Sus scrofa: one gene and its partners. The protein of the gene in region 3 binds, or shares a complex with, the protein of the main gene of each other region. Links are inferred from orthologs where the notes say so. Each region holds a gene or a part of one and is shown on either strand. Other genes may lie near its edges. The genes, in order: ESRRG, RORA and NRIP1.

Region 1 (5,353 bases), on a different chromosome or scaffold from region 3:
TAGTGGCACTATAGAAAGCCTGTAGCTCAGAGCTCTGTGTGATTAATGGCTCTGCCAGGCATTCCTATTTAAAAACCATGCCTACTTTATATCTTTTTTTCGGCTCCGTCCCTGATTTTCTCTGATCCTTATTTTTCTCCTCAGCAGAAATTACCCACTGTCAGAGTTGTCTCCCTCCACCAAAGCCTGTGACTTCACTCCACAGCGTTGCTGGGGGGATGTTTTTCTTAAGTAGATAATTGGCCTAGGAGCATCTAGCAGGTCTAAGTGGCCAGAAGGTTCTACCCAGGTTAATCATTGGCCGGGACTGCTCTTCCTCCTGCCCCCTATTCCAAATCCACATCTTTGAGAAGCAGAAAGAAGAAACGGCTACCAACCAGAGGAGACACTGCCTGGCACCAAGCAAAGCCCGAGTTTCCCTGTTCTGCTTGTAGACTGGATGTGTACATTGCATTTTCAAAATTATTCTGTCAGCCTGGGTGACAATTTCATTTATTTATTTATTTTTTATCCCATTTCTCCACTCTGTTGTTTGGGTAGCTATGTCCCATCAATTTCTCATGCGGGTGGAGCAGGGAAAGGCCTAACAACCCTGGGCTGCCAGCCAAGCTCACTGGTGACTGACGCTCCCCTAACTGAGCAAAGATTTGCTCTGCACAGAGCAGGGCTTGACTGTACAAGAACCAGTGGTGACAGCGAGGGTGCCGGCTGGAATCTTAACAAAGCTGCTGCGAAACGTGTGCTCAGGCGGGTGGAACCAGCACTTAAGCTGAATGTTAAGGGGCTTCAATCTCGGTGCCTTTTTTTTTTTCTCCCCATCATTTACCTTCTGAATAAACCCCGGGATTTTACAGGGAAAACAGCACATTAGCACACTTAAATCACAAATCCTTGGACCTTTTGAAAAGGCTGTTGAAGATTTATTAACTTGTAGGAGCAATCATTTAATTGCTTGCCTCTGCTACACCACATTTTTTTTTTTTTTAAATGACCAAATTAAACCTGCTGCACAAATTTGGGCTTTGAAGTTCCCGAAAAAGGATCATTCCTTTGAGGGAGTGCTAGAAGAAGAATTCAAAGGCTCTGATTTGGTACAAACGGCCAAACGCCCCCCCCACCCCACCCCACCTCCCCCAGCCCGGGTGCCCTCGTACACAGAAGGAAATCCTTCTCCTTTAAATGTTTCAGATTCATTTTCCAAGCCAGGTCTGCATGTCACCGTCATCTCTCCCTCTGTCATTTCAGCGACAGCCCAGAAGCATTTACAAGCGGAGGAACCTCATACTTACAATTTGGGGACGGGTAATGCAGCTGTGGAGCTTAGGAAAAGAAACACCTGTTCTGTTTACACACTGCTGTCCTTCCTGTTCAAAGACAACACCACTCGTGGGAAAGTTGGAGAAACTAGTGAGAAACAGAAAGTCCGTTCCACAGCGTGGGCAGGGGCAAACTACTCTTTGCATGGAGCAGTTAGCAGAGTCTCTGGCTGTTTGAGACTTTGTCCCTTAGGTCAAATGCAGCCCAAAGCCAACAAAATGATTTACCATCTCACCGCTTTCAATGTGATGAAACGCAACTGCCGCATCACATATTTAGACATTTCCCACTTCACATGTCAAAACAGTATAGATGCGAATAGGTGCACCAGCAACACGGCGGCCGATTTGCATGTTTGTTCAGTTGGCTAGCAATGTTCGGAAGTTGTGTGTGGACGGCTAGACAGCGTCAGAGTGACAGAGGTGGTGCATCTGGGTTTTTTAAGGGCTGGCTGCCTTTTCCCTGGGAAGGATTTCTGTTCCATTGCATCAGACGCCCCGTAACACGAGCTCATCAACCTGTGTGAGCATCAGAAGTCCAGCCGGTCACAAGTCCAATTCGCTTCGATGCCAATTGAGATTGACATGGGCTGTTGTCCTAAAGATCACACGGTCCCGTGTGGCTAAATTGGTGGTCTCGGGAAGAAACCAAGGTACAGTCTGTCAAATGGAAAAGGCATGTGCAGGCTTAAGTGTTCGGTTTCTACAATGACAGTTTGCTGAATCGCAGCGGATTAAAACACTGGTTTGTAATTGGGGGGAAAATCCTTTTTTTTTTTTTCCCTGTTATTTGATTCTGTTTGGGCTGCAGTCTTTTTGGTTTGTTTGTTTGAGTCCGATTTTTAAGGCCTGAGTGCCCGGCAAACGACAAGGGGCTGTGAGGTCGGGCCTCTCTTGGCAGGGACGTGTTTGGGTCCTGATGGTGGGAAGGTTGCCACGCCATCAAACCCAAACCGGGTGAACTGAGAGACCGTGCTTGGTTTCTCTGTGGGCCTGGGAACCTGGATGCTGCAATCGAAAGCCGGTGTATTCAGCATAACACATCCAACTACCGTTCACACCCAGCCTCCCGCAAGGCAGGCTCCTAACAGCTCTGTTTTCTGCCTACAGCCTGTGCACAAGAGTGGAACCGCCACACGCACTGCATGCTAAAGGCCGCCGCCTTTGTCTTCTCCAAGTTCTGTCTATTTCAGAGGCTAACATGCAGCAATTAGTCTAATTAATGTGAAACAATGAGCTGTGTTACCACTTATCAAATTGATTGTTCCCCTATCAAAACAAAACAGGCTGGCTTTTTGATGTAATTTCAAGAGATGATTTGAAATGTCATGTTGCTGCGAGCCAATTACCTTATGACTGGAGTCACGGTCAACAGAATACATAATTAGCATGAGTTTGGGAAGGCTGCTTACTGCTCCTATGTTAATTAACTGTCTTTTGTCATAAAACAAAAAGGTTGTACCGGAAGGTTTTGAAATAGGTCTTTTTTATTTACATTTCTTTGTGCTTATCAACGTGAGGCATGACAATGCAAAAGAATAGGAAATTTTAATTCCGCTACTTCAAATTAATACTCAGCTGCAAGGTCAGCCGTCCTGTGCAGACTGCCATACCATTCACTTCGCTCGCGTCTTGCCCCAGTGTATTATATTCCTCGCCGAGTTAAATTAAATATCGGCTAAAACTCAAATGTAAGAAATCCTAAGCTCCCGGAAACAAATCCCCTAATAGACAGCCTTCTTCGGAAGAGTTTCGCACGCTTTTATGCATCTTGTGAGGGCAGGACAGCCCTCGGCTGTCCTGGGAATTACATTCAGCTGTCGTCTTTCTATTTCAGTGTTGAAATTTGGAGAGAATAAGCCCATTCTCAAAGGATGCTATTGCCTTTACCTCACTGTGGTAGAGAGAGGATGCAGACAAGGCCCCGTGCACTTCTAGAGGGTGCCCATCTGTGCGTCCAGGGCTCCGAAACTCATCTGCAGCTTCCTCTCCTCTGGGAGACCCTGGCCATTGCACTTTTTTTTTGTTGTTGTTGCTCTTTAGGGCCATACCTGCGACATATGGAAGTTCCCAGGCTAGGAGTTGAATCAGGGCTACAGCTGCCAGCCTATAGCACAGCCACCACAGATCCAAGCCGCATCTGCAACCTACACCACAGCTCACGGCCACACTGGATCCTTAACCCACTGAGCGAGGCCAGGGATTGAACCTGAAACCTCATGGATCCTAGTTAGATTCGTTTTCTCTGTGCCATGACGGGAACTCCCTATCTCACATTCTTGATCAAGGAACTGCTTCTGTGTTTCCTGAGCTGGAATGCATTCTGGAGGTAGCTTTAATCAAGAACTGAGAATGCACAATCAAGTTCAGGGCAGCCTGGAGTCATGGTTTGACACGCATGTTAGCAAACCAGCCTTCAGTTTGGAGGACGGGTTGGAATTTTCCCCGCATTCGAATACTATCCTTCCATAGCCTAATGGCACGGTTTTACCTGCAAAGGCAGGGGCCTCTCTTGGAGAACCCACGATTTTTCTCTAAGAAATGCGTTGCCATTTTGTAAGTTTGAAAACTACCCCCCACCCACCACGAGATCGTTCAAGTCTTAAAGTCCTATTAGAATGGTTCTCAGGGGCCATAAAAATACAGCACTTTGCTGTTAGACACATTAAATGTGCTCCGCCAATCAGATTTTCTGTCCCAATTTGTTTCTATTTTTTGGCATAGTTTTTTTTTTTTTTTTCCTGTTTCTGACATCAGTAAAAACACTTCTAAAAGGAGTTCCCACTGTGGCAGTGGGTTAAGGATCCTACCTTGCCACAGCTATGGTGTAGGTCACAACTGCAGCTCGAATTCAGTCTTCGGCCTGGGAACCTCTATATGCGGTGGGTGTAGCCAAAAAAAAAAAAAAAAAAAAAAGCACCTTTAAATGTGGTATAGAAAATATTAAGTGGATGGGGTGCCGTGCTTTTCCTTTTGGGGTTGGGGTTTCTCGTTTTTGTGATACAGAATAAGGAACCTTGGGATGCAGGCAGTTGACAGGAAGGGGGGAGGCAGGCTGGCTGTGCCAGGTCAGGGAGGCAGTCAGTTTCTGATAAGCTCTTAACCTCTCCGCAGCAGCTTCTCTTCTTCCTGCCAATTTGCTAATTTAAACGTTTAGCCTTGAATTTTTTTTTTTTTTTTTTTTTTGCTTTTTAGGGCTGCACCCACGGCAAGTGAAAGTTTCAGGCTAGGGGCTAAATCGGAGCTATAGCTGCCAGCCTACGCTATAGCCACAGCAACACAGGATTCAAGCTGCATCTGCAACCTACACCACAGCTCACGGCAACACCGGATCCTTAACCCACCAAGCAAGGCCAGGGATCAAACCCACATTCTCATGGACGCTAGTTGGATTTGCTTCTGCTGCGCCACAACAGGTACTCCTATCCTTGAATTGCGATTCTAGTTTTCAAAAGGGGCAGCTGGGGAGAGGGAAGCAAAATGAGGACGGCCACCTGAGAAATTAAGCAAGGACAAGCGATCACCATCACCAAGTGCCTTCAAAGCACGAGGGCAGCGGAACCCCAGAATGGTCACGGAAGGGAATTCATTAATTTCATAGCTGGACCTGGAGTTTCTGCAGGGTTTGGCACATTCCTTCTTTGGAATCGAAAGGTTACAGAACCCTGGAGTGGAAGGACATCTTACGGAAATGCCCTCTCCCCAGCTCCCTCCAAGGGGAGTTCGTCCCACGCTGGCCCTGACCACTGAAATGAGATGCCTTTCAAGGAGGCGTTCTCTTTGGGGGAATTGACCAATATCCCAAAAGTTCTCAGATGCTCACGGATGAGCAAACGCAGAACGCCTGATGTTTGGCTGCTAGAACGGCTCTAAAGCTATCGCACAGCTCAGAGATAGCAGCGGTGTCACAGCCACTGGGCTGTGGGCACTTGAGGAATGACACAAAGTCCATGGAAAGGATATCTGAAAACCAGTCCCTCCTGCCCTAGAAATGTGGATGAGACGACACATCATCAGTGAGCCTAAAGTGAACAATC
Region 2 (4,769 bases), on a different chromosome or scaffold from region 3:
AGATTTCATCTTCCAATGGCACTAAACTGACAAAATTGGGTATATCTCTATGAATCTGTAAGTTAAAAGTCACACATTATGTGTGTATTTCATGACCTGATCCCTTCATTTTCCTTAGAGGCTAGTATGATTTCTGTTGTTAATGATAAGAAAAGAATTAAAACACAGTTCAGAGTCATAGCAGAACAAGTGTAATACCTATCGATTAATCAGGTATTAATTGATCCCCTAGGGAGTTCTAGAATATTCTTTTCAAAAAAATAAATAAAGTACCTTCAGTCTGCCTTGTGGAGATTTTGCATGTAAATGACAGCACCTGTCCTTAGGGGCTTAGAGTGAATTGGTGGCTTATACAATTCTAGGCCTGAAATTTAGAGTCCCCATCAGCATGAGTGCTGTCTTAATGAGCCCCACCCAAGTTTGTCACCTGAGTCGTGGAAACTGGAGATTGACCAGAATCCAGCTCTCACTTGTTTTCTCTTGTGCAAAAGGAAAGCACAACCTCTTTGGCAGGAAAGAATCCACCAGTTGGCCTGGATGGTGGGTCCTGATTCCCAGTTTCACGTCCATCCATCCTGCCTCCTTCCCTAAGACTGGTGGAATTATGATGGTGGTCAAATAGATGAATTCTTCCACCCAGTCAGGTGTAAATTTAACCATAGTCGATTAGGAATCTAAGTCCCTCCAGCAGAGGCTTTATCTGCATATACAGAGTCAGACTGAGAAATAAATGCGTTAGTGGGGAGTTCGGACCAAGAAGTCATAGGATTTTTTCCCCCCAATTACATAGGTGTTTCACGAAAAATCGTTTGGGATTCTGAATTAACTGGAAAGTCACTCCAGCTATTGGTCCACTTTAAATATGGGGACATCACAAGAAGGGCTGCAAACACAGATTCTCCCAGCAGGGATCTTCCAGTGTCTGCCCTTTCCAAAATTCTGATATTCTTTTCACTTGGGGCTAAACAAGTATACCAAAAATCATCCTTAAAGAGGGGTCCAAGGGTTTCACACAGACCTGAGGCATGGCCCAGGAGTGGGGTGGGGGAGACTCAGAGATGTAACTCAGAGAACTGCAAACACTTCATCCAGTCAGTTAAACTTTTTCAAGGAGGCCCCAGATTTGGTTGTTCGATCAGAAAGAAACTCATGCCACTGTACGGATTAGTGAAATTAATGCAAGATGAGGTTTGACTGCTTGTGACTCATTGTACCTCCATGAGTCTCTGCATCCCTGTGCACTGATCTGAACACCGTGAAGAGACAGAGGAGGTGGTCTAGGCCAGCTGCCTAGGTAGAGGGGGAATGAGCCCATTAAGTCTCATTTCAGTGGCTCCCACTGAGCGCAGGGTCATGTGACAGCACCAAGACCCTGGTCATTGCTCTGGGTTTCGTCTATCAGCCTTGGGTCTGTTTCTGAAATAGCCTCTCTGGGCTGTGTCTTTGCTGTTTGGGATGTGGCATGAGCCTGTGTGGGGCAGGACTGTTTTCACCCCTGGACCGTGTCCTTGTTTTGCGGCCCTTTGGTTTTGGATTGAGAGTGTCTGAGATTTCAAAGGAACTCCTAAAGCATGGCAGAGAGGAGAATGGAGAAAAGCGTATTGTATATGGTGTGGTGTGGCTTTTTTCTTCCAGCTGTAAAGTTTGGCCGCATGTCGAAAAAGCAGAGAGACAGCTTGTATGCAGAAGTACAGAAACACCGAATGCAGCAGCAGCAGCGCGACCACCAACAGCAGCCTGGAGAGGCTGAGCCGCTGACTCCCACCTACAACATCTCGGCCAATGGGCTGACGGAACTTCACGATGACCTCAGCAACTACATTGACGGCCACACCCCTGAGGGCAGCAAGGCAGACTCTGCCGTCAGCAGCTTCTACCTGGACATACAGCCTTCCCCGGACCAGTCAGGTCTTGATATCAATGGAATCAAACCAGAACCAATATGTGACTACACACCAGCATCAGGCTTCTTTCCCTACTGCTCTTTCACCAATGGAGAGACTTCCCCAACTGTGTCCATGGCAGAATTAGGTAACGGCTTCCATGTTTCCATTGGGATATATTCCTTGTGCCCATCAGAGTAAATGGGATATGTTTGACTTTCCGCTAAGGAGTTATGTTATTAAAATAATGCATCTAGGAGTTCCTGTCGTGGTGCAGCAGAAATGAATCTGACTAGGAACCATGAGGTTGCAGGTTTGATCCCTGGCCTTGCTCAGTGGGTTAAGGATCTGGTGTTGCCGTGAGTTGTGGTGTAGGTCGCAGACATGGCTTGGATCCATCGTTGCTGTGGCTGTGGTGTAGGCCAGTAGCTGTAGCTCTGATTCAACCCCTAGCCTGGAAACCTCCATATGCAGTGGGTGTGGCCCTAAAAAGCAAAAAATAAAATAAAATGAAATAGAAAAGTATCTAAAAAAATAAATAAATACCATAAAATGATGCATCTAGCAGGACAATTCAGCTTTACCTTTTGGACCACTTCGTAATTCCAGCCTGGCCCCTTGCTCTTTGCCTGTCCGCTGTTTCCCATTGTATATCCAAGAAGTTCATTGACCTCTCAGCGTCAAAGCTGGGACAAGATGAACTTAAAGCCATCTTTAAATTCCACCAAAAAATGTCTAAGCTCAGGGAATGGCCCCATTAACTTCACCTCTTTAAGTTATATTCTAGGTATTGCTTTATATACCAAAAGTCATGGAATGGCAACCCACAGACTCAAGCTGGTCCAAAGACATATTTCTCTGAGCTTTACAATTTTTGAACTGGTTGCTAAAGTACAGAGCTTTACAATTTTTAAATTGGTTGCTAAAGTTTTAAACCTGGACGCCTCCACCAGAAAGTTCAGATGTTCCGTTTCTTGTGGGAGGAAAGAAGAATGATCTGGTTACACTGGAGCAGTATTTGTGAATGGCAGCAACCAGCTGGTACCAGTTAGGTCCTAACCTTTTAAATGAACCCATCCCGCTGTCCCCATTTAGATCACTCCTCAGGCCCTGTTAGCATCTACGTTTTTCAACTCTGATGTGTTCCCTAAACTTTCAAGGAAAGTTGGCTTATTTGCCAAAATGTTTTCGTGATGTATATTAATGATGAAACAGATGTATGTCATGGAAGATCCACCTTGCCCCCCAAAACAAAACAAAACAAAACCCAACAACCCTGTCATTTCCTTATTCCTGTGACATTGGTGCTTCTCTGGAGATGTGACCTAGAAATGTTAACACAGACAATGGAAAACTTTTCATTTCAAGGAAGTTGTGTTAACATCCTCTGTTATATTTAATCGATTTTTAAGTGCAGCACTATTATTAGAGAAACTTTGATAAGGACCTTGGCTGTTTGAGAATTTGATCTGCTCCTCCCCATGATTCCTCATACAAGGTTATACTCCTTTGGGATATTTCAATTAGTTGCTGTGAAGATGACTAAGTTAAGACGAGGAGAGAATGGAGACTTCAGATGGAAAAGAACCAGCAGGTTCTGACTTGAGCACAGACACTCTTAGTTCACAGAGAGAACAGTTGTGTTCTTTAGATGGTTTCTCCACCTCTGTACCCCATAAAACATTTTTAAGTGAAATTTATATTTCCAGTAAAATCTTTCTCCAAATAGAACAAATTGAATGTTCTTTACGGTTTTTACACAAGCACCTCTTTATGGGTCTAAATTTAAATCCTCAAGAGCAGGGACATTTTAAGCCTGGTCTTTAACCACTGAACAGCATTAAAGGTGTATCACAGCTCTTTTGATTAACAGAGAAACCTCTGAACTAGAAGCCAAGCTGAGCAGAGGTGGGTTTGATTTTTTTTTTTTTTTTTTCTTGAACTAGAACAAAAACCTTCCGTTTTGGTCGTGAAATCTTGGTTGGCTAAGCCTTAAGCAGGGCTGTAATGAAAGTAAAATTTTCAGAAATGAATAAGGATATGATTGAAAGTTGACAGGCACTTGTGAAAAATGACCTGGCTCACTTTAGGCTTGCTTCTACTTTATCATAACTACTAGTGAATCTGCCTGTTTGCTTGTCATATGTTCAACCCAAAATAAACCCACACTGCTTGACCTAAGTGTGGCCCTTGAACATGGCACTTGGGCTGAATGTGTGCTGATTCCTGAGTGGAGCCAGAAATGGCTCAGCTTCTCCTTTCCCAGCAAACCTGTCAACTCCTGGAGGGTGTGGGGCCCTGTGCCCACATCTATTCTACATGTTCTCTTCAATTAGGGATTTTTCACATGTATTATGGCATTTTCCAGGATGAATAAAATTAACTGTTACTAAGATTTGTCCCAAACCCAAAACTAAAGAAGAATTTATCTGAAAAGGATGTAACAGGACTCTAATTTTCTGTCCCTTTTGCACGTGGAGGATAGTTTGAGGAGCTAAGAGTAGCATCAAAGTGACCAAAGGCTTTGCTGCTGCTTATCCAAAGTCTTTACTTCCCTGAAATTCCTCTGGGGCTTAAGTTCTGCTCTTTCTTTAATTTGACTTCATTTTAGGCTAAATTTTGTCATCCAATTTGAAACAAATGAAACCATTTGTATAATTGGAAAATAAATTGTGAGTTAACATAGCCTAAGCCCAATTAATTCTGTCTTTCAATAATAGCATCTACAATCCATTACTTTTAGTGGAAATATATCCGCATTCCTGGCTATGAAATTTTACCCTTGTTATACACTTAGCACCCAAATTATACATTCCAGATAAACTATCTAGGTTTATTTTTTTTAAGCGCTAATTGCACCTATTACTATAATCAGTAATTAAAGCC
Region 3 (4,767 bases):
CCTGACCTAAAGTTCACTTCCATGTAAAGGCCCATAATCCCCTAACTGAGGGGGAGATATCACTACTTTTAACCTAGGATATTCCTAAGACTCCAGACCTTTCACAATGGCAGAAAAAAAAAAAAAATGCCTTGTTTAAAAGCTTCTTTATTTAGTGTAGACAGTAAGATTGTCACAGAGTAAAGATGAGAGGGAGGTGAATTTCTTCACTGGCCAGTGGAATTTTCATTTCAAAATCAGCATATGCCTTCATCTCTTCAGGATGTAGCATGATATTCACTCCTATTATTTTATAATATGTCCAGTCACTATTTACAAATCATTTTGAGAAAAAATAATGATTCCGGGTTTTAGATCATATTAGGAAATAACACCCATTTTCAATATAAAAATCTTAGAAACAACTTCAAGTAGAACAATTTCAAATAGATTTCCTTCTAATTAATAGTTGATTATACAACAATTTTTTGATAGGTCAGTTGCTAACCTGGTTTACAGTTAAAACCAAAAACATCTGGTGAATGAACTGTGGATTGTAAAAACTGAACTGAAAAACTTGATCTTGTTTCAACATAAAAACATCATGTGGCTCAATAGCATATTAAGTTTTTCCAAGAAAAACCAATGGTTATTTTTAATCACTATTTCAAAATCACAGATCCGATGGAGTGACTGTGTATAATTCTGTCATGTATATGTGCCCTCTGTATTTGTTTGTTTAGTTGAGTTTAGTGTCTTTCTTGGGTTTGAAATAAATGTTTTCATCTTTGTCAGCACTGTTCTGAGGACAAGGATTTTAATAGAAGTTAAGGATGTATTCGGGAGGAGTTTCCAAACCATCCTGGAATCACCTGAGTTTGGTAAGTGGCCCTGTTAGTCCATCCCTAAGGCTAATTAAGTAGATGTTACTCATTAGAACACATAAATAATCACAGATTTTCCTGAGATGTTGAGCCAGGTATGAAAGTTGTCCCCTTCACCCAATTTTTTTTTTTGTCATAAAAAGTATTCTGAACCCGATTTCCAAAGACATAACAGTAATATACGAAGTACAATATTGCAAATTTTGAGTTGATGTGTGACTATACTGGGGAAAATATAGGCATCAAATAGTTTGTTTACAATCCTGTGTTCTGAGAAAAGTCAGGCAATGGTTTTCAAATTTCAGAGTGCAGAAGAAACACCTAGGGAGTGTGTTAAGATGCAGAAGGAAGATTCCCAGGTCCACTTAGCAGAGATTCTTGTTCTGTGTAGATCTGAGATGCTGCCTAGGAATCTGCATTTTAAAACTAGTGCTCCAGATGATTCTAACGCAGGTAGTCTGAGTCCAGCTTTATTAAGAAACCCTGGTCACAAGACTCACAGGTACCACAGAAATGGTGAGAAGTAGCTTTTATAAGAGATGGTGAAAACTGTCCAAAGAAAAGCCATTTTGCTTCTGTTAAAAACAACTTATTTCTACTATTCAGGAAACCACCTGAAGATAAATGCTAACTCTCCTAATTCTGCAAAAGGAGGAATATTAATTTAGTAAAGTAGTTAAAATACAAAAATGGAAATCTGCCTTTTTTTAAGATCTATCAAACTTCCATCAATTGTAATCAATTTTTTACTAAGTAGTACAAGGTTTAAAGAAATATAGTGTATTGAAAAGGACTGGGGTGGAGCAGACACATTAGGGAATCATAAAACCCCTTCCAAGAGTTAAAAATAATTTTTTCTTTAGCAAAAGTGAAAAATGTAAGCATATTTTTCCTAATTTATGTTTGAACTGAATTGAGAAATAAATCCGAACTAGGTTTTTTAATTGAACTAGGTTCAACAATTATCTTTAAAGAGTTATTATTTAATAAATTGGCCTTAAAAAAAAATGTGTTGTGTAGGCTGACTTCTGAAAAGCAAAATAAAATACCCTAATAAAGGCAGCAATGCATTAATCCACTGTGGATGAAGATTTACATTTTAATGTATGCCTGTTATCTGTGATTAAAAAAAGGATATCATTCATAGGCTACTCACAGTTGTTGTCTGATGCATACAAAGTGTTAAACAACCACTGGCTAGTTCAGCAGCTTCCTCATGACATCTAACGTAAAGCAAAAAGTAGTATGCATATTTAAACATCACCAGGAACCAAGACTTTTCAAAATGAGAAAGTTTCAATTATACCATGCTTTTCTCAAATCATGCGCTTATTTATACAGATCTCAAGTTCAAACTCATTTAGTTTTTAAAAAGATCCAAAGATGGACGGCAGGTACATTTTATTCTGATTCCTTTTTTATTGTTAGCATGTTTCCCAGAAGTCCATAAACTTCTCCATTTGCGCTGTGTGGGCGAGAGGCATTATTTCCCATATGGCTATTATAAGGGCTTCTTAAATTAAAGAAAGAAGCTTTAGTTTCTGCAGCAGGGAGTAACTCTTCTTTGATTGTAACCTGTGAGATGTTTTCAGCAGAGGAAGGCTCCCTCCAAACGTCCTTGTCTTGTGTTTCTCGACTGGTAACAGAATTGCCTCCTTTCTGGAGCATGTAATACAGTATTGGGTTAGTTTTGGTCAGTCTTGGAGAGTCTTTTTCATACTCATTCTTTTCCGCGTCTGTGATAACCCACTTAATGGGTCTCTTCTCACTGGGCATGGAACACCCGTTCACAAGCCCAGATTCTGGTCTGGACCCTGTGCAGCCCAAGTGCTCAGGGAAAGGAGGACTCAGGGGAGTTTTGACTCCTCCTGGGTATGGAAATGTCCTGCTGTCCATGCAACTGCTGGGCTGAGCGGCACTGTACATCAGTCCATTTAAAGAAGAAATGCTGAATTCAGGCTTGCTGTTGGTCACACTGTTTTTGCATCCTTTCTTTTTACTGTCACCGACAGAGTTACTCCGATGCTGGGACAAATCTCTCACACAGTTTTCTGAGAGAAGCAGCTGTTTCAAAACGTTGAAGCTTTTGCTCTCTCTGGCCCAACTCCTGTGTTCACTTTCGCTGGGTGAACTATGACTGCCAGGGTATTTCAAGTCAAGCTCATTTCTGCTAAGCTTCAGCTCTTGCTGGTTAAGCAAGGACCCATACAGCACCTCCGGAGCACTGTGACTGCCTGCAGCATCGACTATGTTATTTTTCATCTTTTTAAATGGATTTTCTAACGGCTCAGTATAAAGCTTCCTTTTCTTAGGGACCATGCAAAGATTCTTTGATTCCAAAAGTGTCAGTTCACTGTTTCTGTGACTGCCGTCCAGGTCATCAGCCGGGTAGCTCTCTTGATTTTGTCTCAGCAAGCGACTTAGCAGACCGTTCTTTGAGAAAGAAAAATCCTGAGGTGAAGCGGGCTCCGATTTCAAGTCCTCGGGAGCTGGTAAGGCAGCTGCGCCTCTCTGCACGGGAGGAGCCATCCCTAAGAATGGGGCGCCCTGAGCATCGGGGCTCGAGTGCACATCCGGGGTGTGCGCGTGGAAGTCGTCGCAAGGCTCAGATTTTATTTTCACCATCAATATTTGTTCACTTAAAGCTCGGTCTGTATGTTCCTGAGTACTTCCCTCCCTTAAGGGAATCTTCTCTTTCTTCTCCATCTTCCCTTTGTTGGAGTTTCCCAGCAGCAACTGGAGGACAGTGCGCCTTTCAAGCAGATTTTCTATTTCGGAACCAGAAAGTCCGGGCTCAGGGCCGGCTGAGTGGCTGCCGAATGCTTTATTTTCTTCAGCTGGGTTTGTTTTATTTGCGAGCAGAGGGCTACCGAGTCTCTCCATCACACCTGTAGGTTTATCCGTGTTGACGCTTAGCAGCTGTTTACTGGGTCTCTGCTCTTCCCCTGACATGGAAGACTGCATGCCACACTGCGCTAAATTTTTTAACAGCTTGCTGGCACTGAACGTGGCAGAGTTTTGTGCACCTTCGTTTTGGACTGGTTTCTCTCCTTGCAAGTCTTTGCTCTTTGTAAGGTCCATCAAGCGGTTGGAGGTGGCATTTGTTGGCTTTTCAGACGGAGGGCCACAGGCATACGGTGGGGAATTCCATCTAATGACCAAAGAATGCTGGGAAAGGTTGATGGGAGACTCGGCTTTGGCCGATGCAAGTAGGGGTGGAGTGCTCACTGGCGTCGTCCTGTTGGTACCCGGGCTTTCAATGACAGAGGTCCGAGCATAGTTCTGTGTGCTGAACTTTGTCACATCACTGTGGACTTCCTGAGGGCTGTTGTTTCTTTCTACATTTTCTTCATTCTTATGGCCGAGGAGCAGCTGAAGAAGGGTCACTTTCTGGTGTGAATTTAGCCTAGAATTCTTTGAGGTATCTTGATCTTCTTTGTTATCTACTTCGGGGACTTTGGGATCCCAAGTGTTTAGTAAGGACTGAGTTAAGTTATCTAGAGAAACAGGCTGGTCAGGTTCTGGCTTTTCGGTTCGGTGCTTGCAAGACAAGTCTATGGGCACACAGTTGGAATAAGAGCTTTCATCACCACTGCTATCATCTGTAAAACTGGGATTGTTATCTGAGTAGTCATCAATAGTTGTAGGTGTACTGCTCTCCTCAAAAATGCTTCCTCTCTCACTGTGACTGTGTCCGTTCATTGGCTTAGGTATGGTCTGGCTTTTAAGAAGATGTAAAAGCAAACTATTATTAGCAGCTTGTTTGATATTGTTTCTTTCCAGTGAATTCTTATAGCCTGCATTTTTGGGGGAAGAAGGAACGAGACCCATTGGACTTTGAAATGTTGTACTTTTGCTAGCCATTAATTTGTTTGATGATGTTCTTGCCTGGCCATTAAGATGG

The links.
Region 1: the proteins of NRIP1 (region 3) and ESRRG are in contact, whole or in part, in a crystal structure (PDB 2GPP), measured with the Homo sapiens proteins. The link is inferred for Sus scrofa from reciprocal best matches to the Homo sapiens genes NRIP1 and ESRRG. Residues at the interface, in NP_001426204.1 of Homo sapiens: Ser378, Leu379, Leu380, Leu381, Leu383, Leu384, Lys385, Ser386, Gln387; in NP_001429.2 of Homo sapiens: Val277, Ile280, Lys284, Phe289, Leu294, Gln297, Met298, Leu301, Gln302, Lys448, Leu449, Glu452, Met453.
Region 2: the proteins of NRIP1 (region 3) and RORA are in contact, whole or in part, in a crystal structure (PDB 4S15), measured with the Homo sapiens proteins. The link is inferred for Sus scrofa from reciprocal best matches to the Homo sapiens genes NRIP1 and RORA. Residues at the interface, in NP_001426204.1 of Homo sapiens: Thr499, Leu500, Leu501, Gln502, Leu504, Leu505, His507; in NP_599023.1 of Homo sapiens: Gln332, Val335, Lys339, Phe344, Met345, Gln349, Gln352, Ile353, Leu356, Pro505, Leu506, Glu509, Leu510.

The regions. Positions count from the first base shown.
Region 1 is NC_010452.4:7,028,332-7,033,684, forward strand, and holds the start of ESRRG (estrogen-related receptor gamma), read right to left. Parts: upstream 3,401-5,353; 5' UTR 1,601-3,400; coding exon 1,545-1,600; exon of another isoform or gene 1,290-1,544; intron 1-1,289. UniProt on the Homo sapiens protein: Orphan receptor that acts as a transcription activator in the absence of bound ligand. Binds specifically to an estrogen response element and activates reporter genes controlled by estrogen response elements.
Region 2 is NC_010443.5:111,456,109-111,460,877, forward strand, and holds part of RORA (nuclear receptor ROR-alpha), read left to right. Parts: intron 1-1,635; coding exon 1,636-2,031; intron 2,032-4,769. UniProt on the Homo sapiens protein: Nuclear receptor that binds DNA as a monomer to ROR response elements (RORE) containing a single core motif half-site 5'-AGGTCA-3' preceded by a short A-T-rich sequence.
Region 3 is NC_010455.5:179,825,143-179,829,909, forward strand, and holds part of NRIP1 (nuclear receptor-interacting protein 1), read right to left. Parts: coding exon 2,265-4,767; 3' UTR 1-2,264. UniProt on the Homo sapiens protein: Modulates transcriptional activation by steroid receptors such as NR3C1, NR3C2 and ESR1. Also modulates transcriptional repression by nuclear hormone receptors.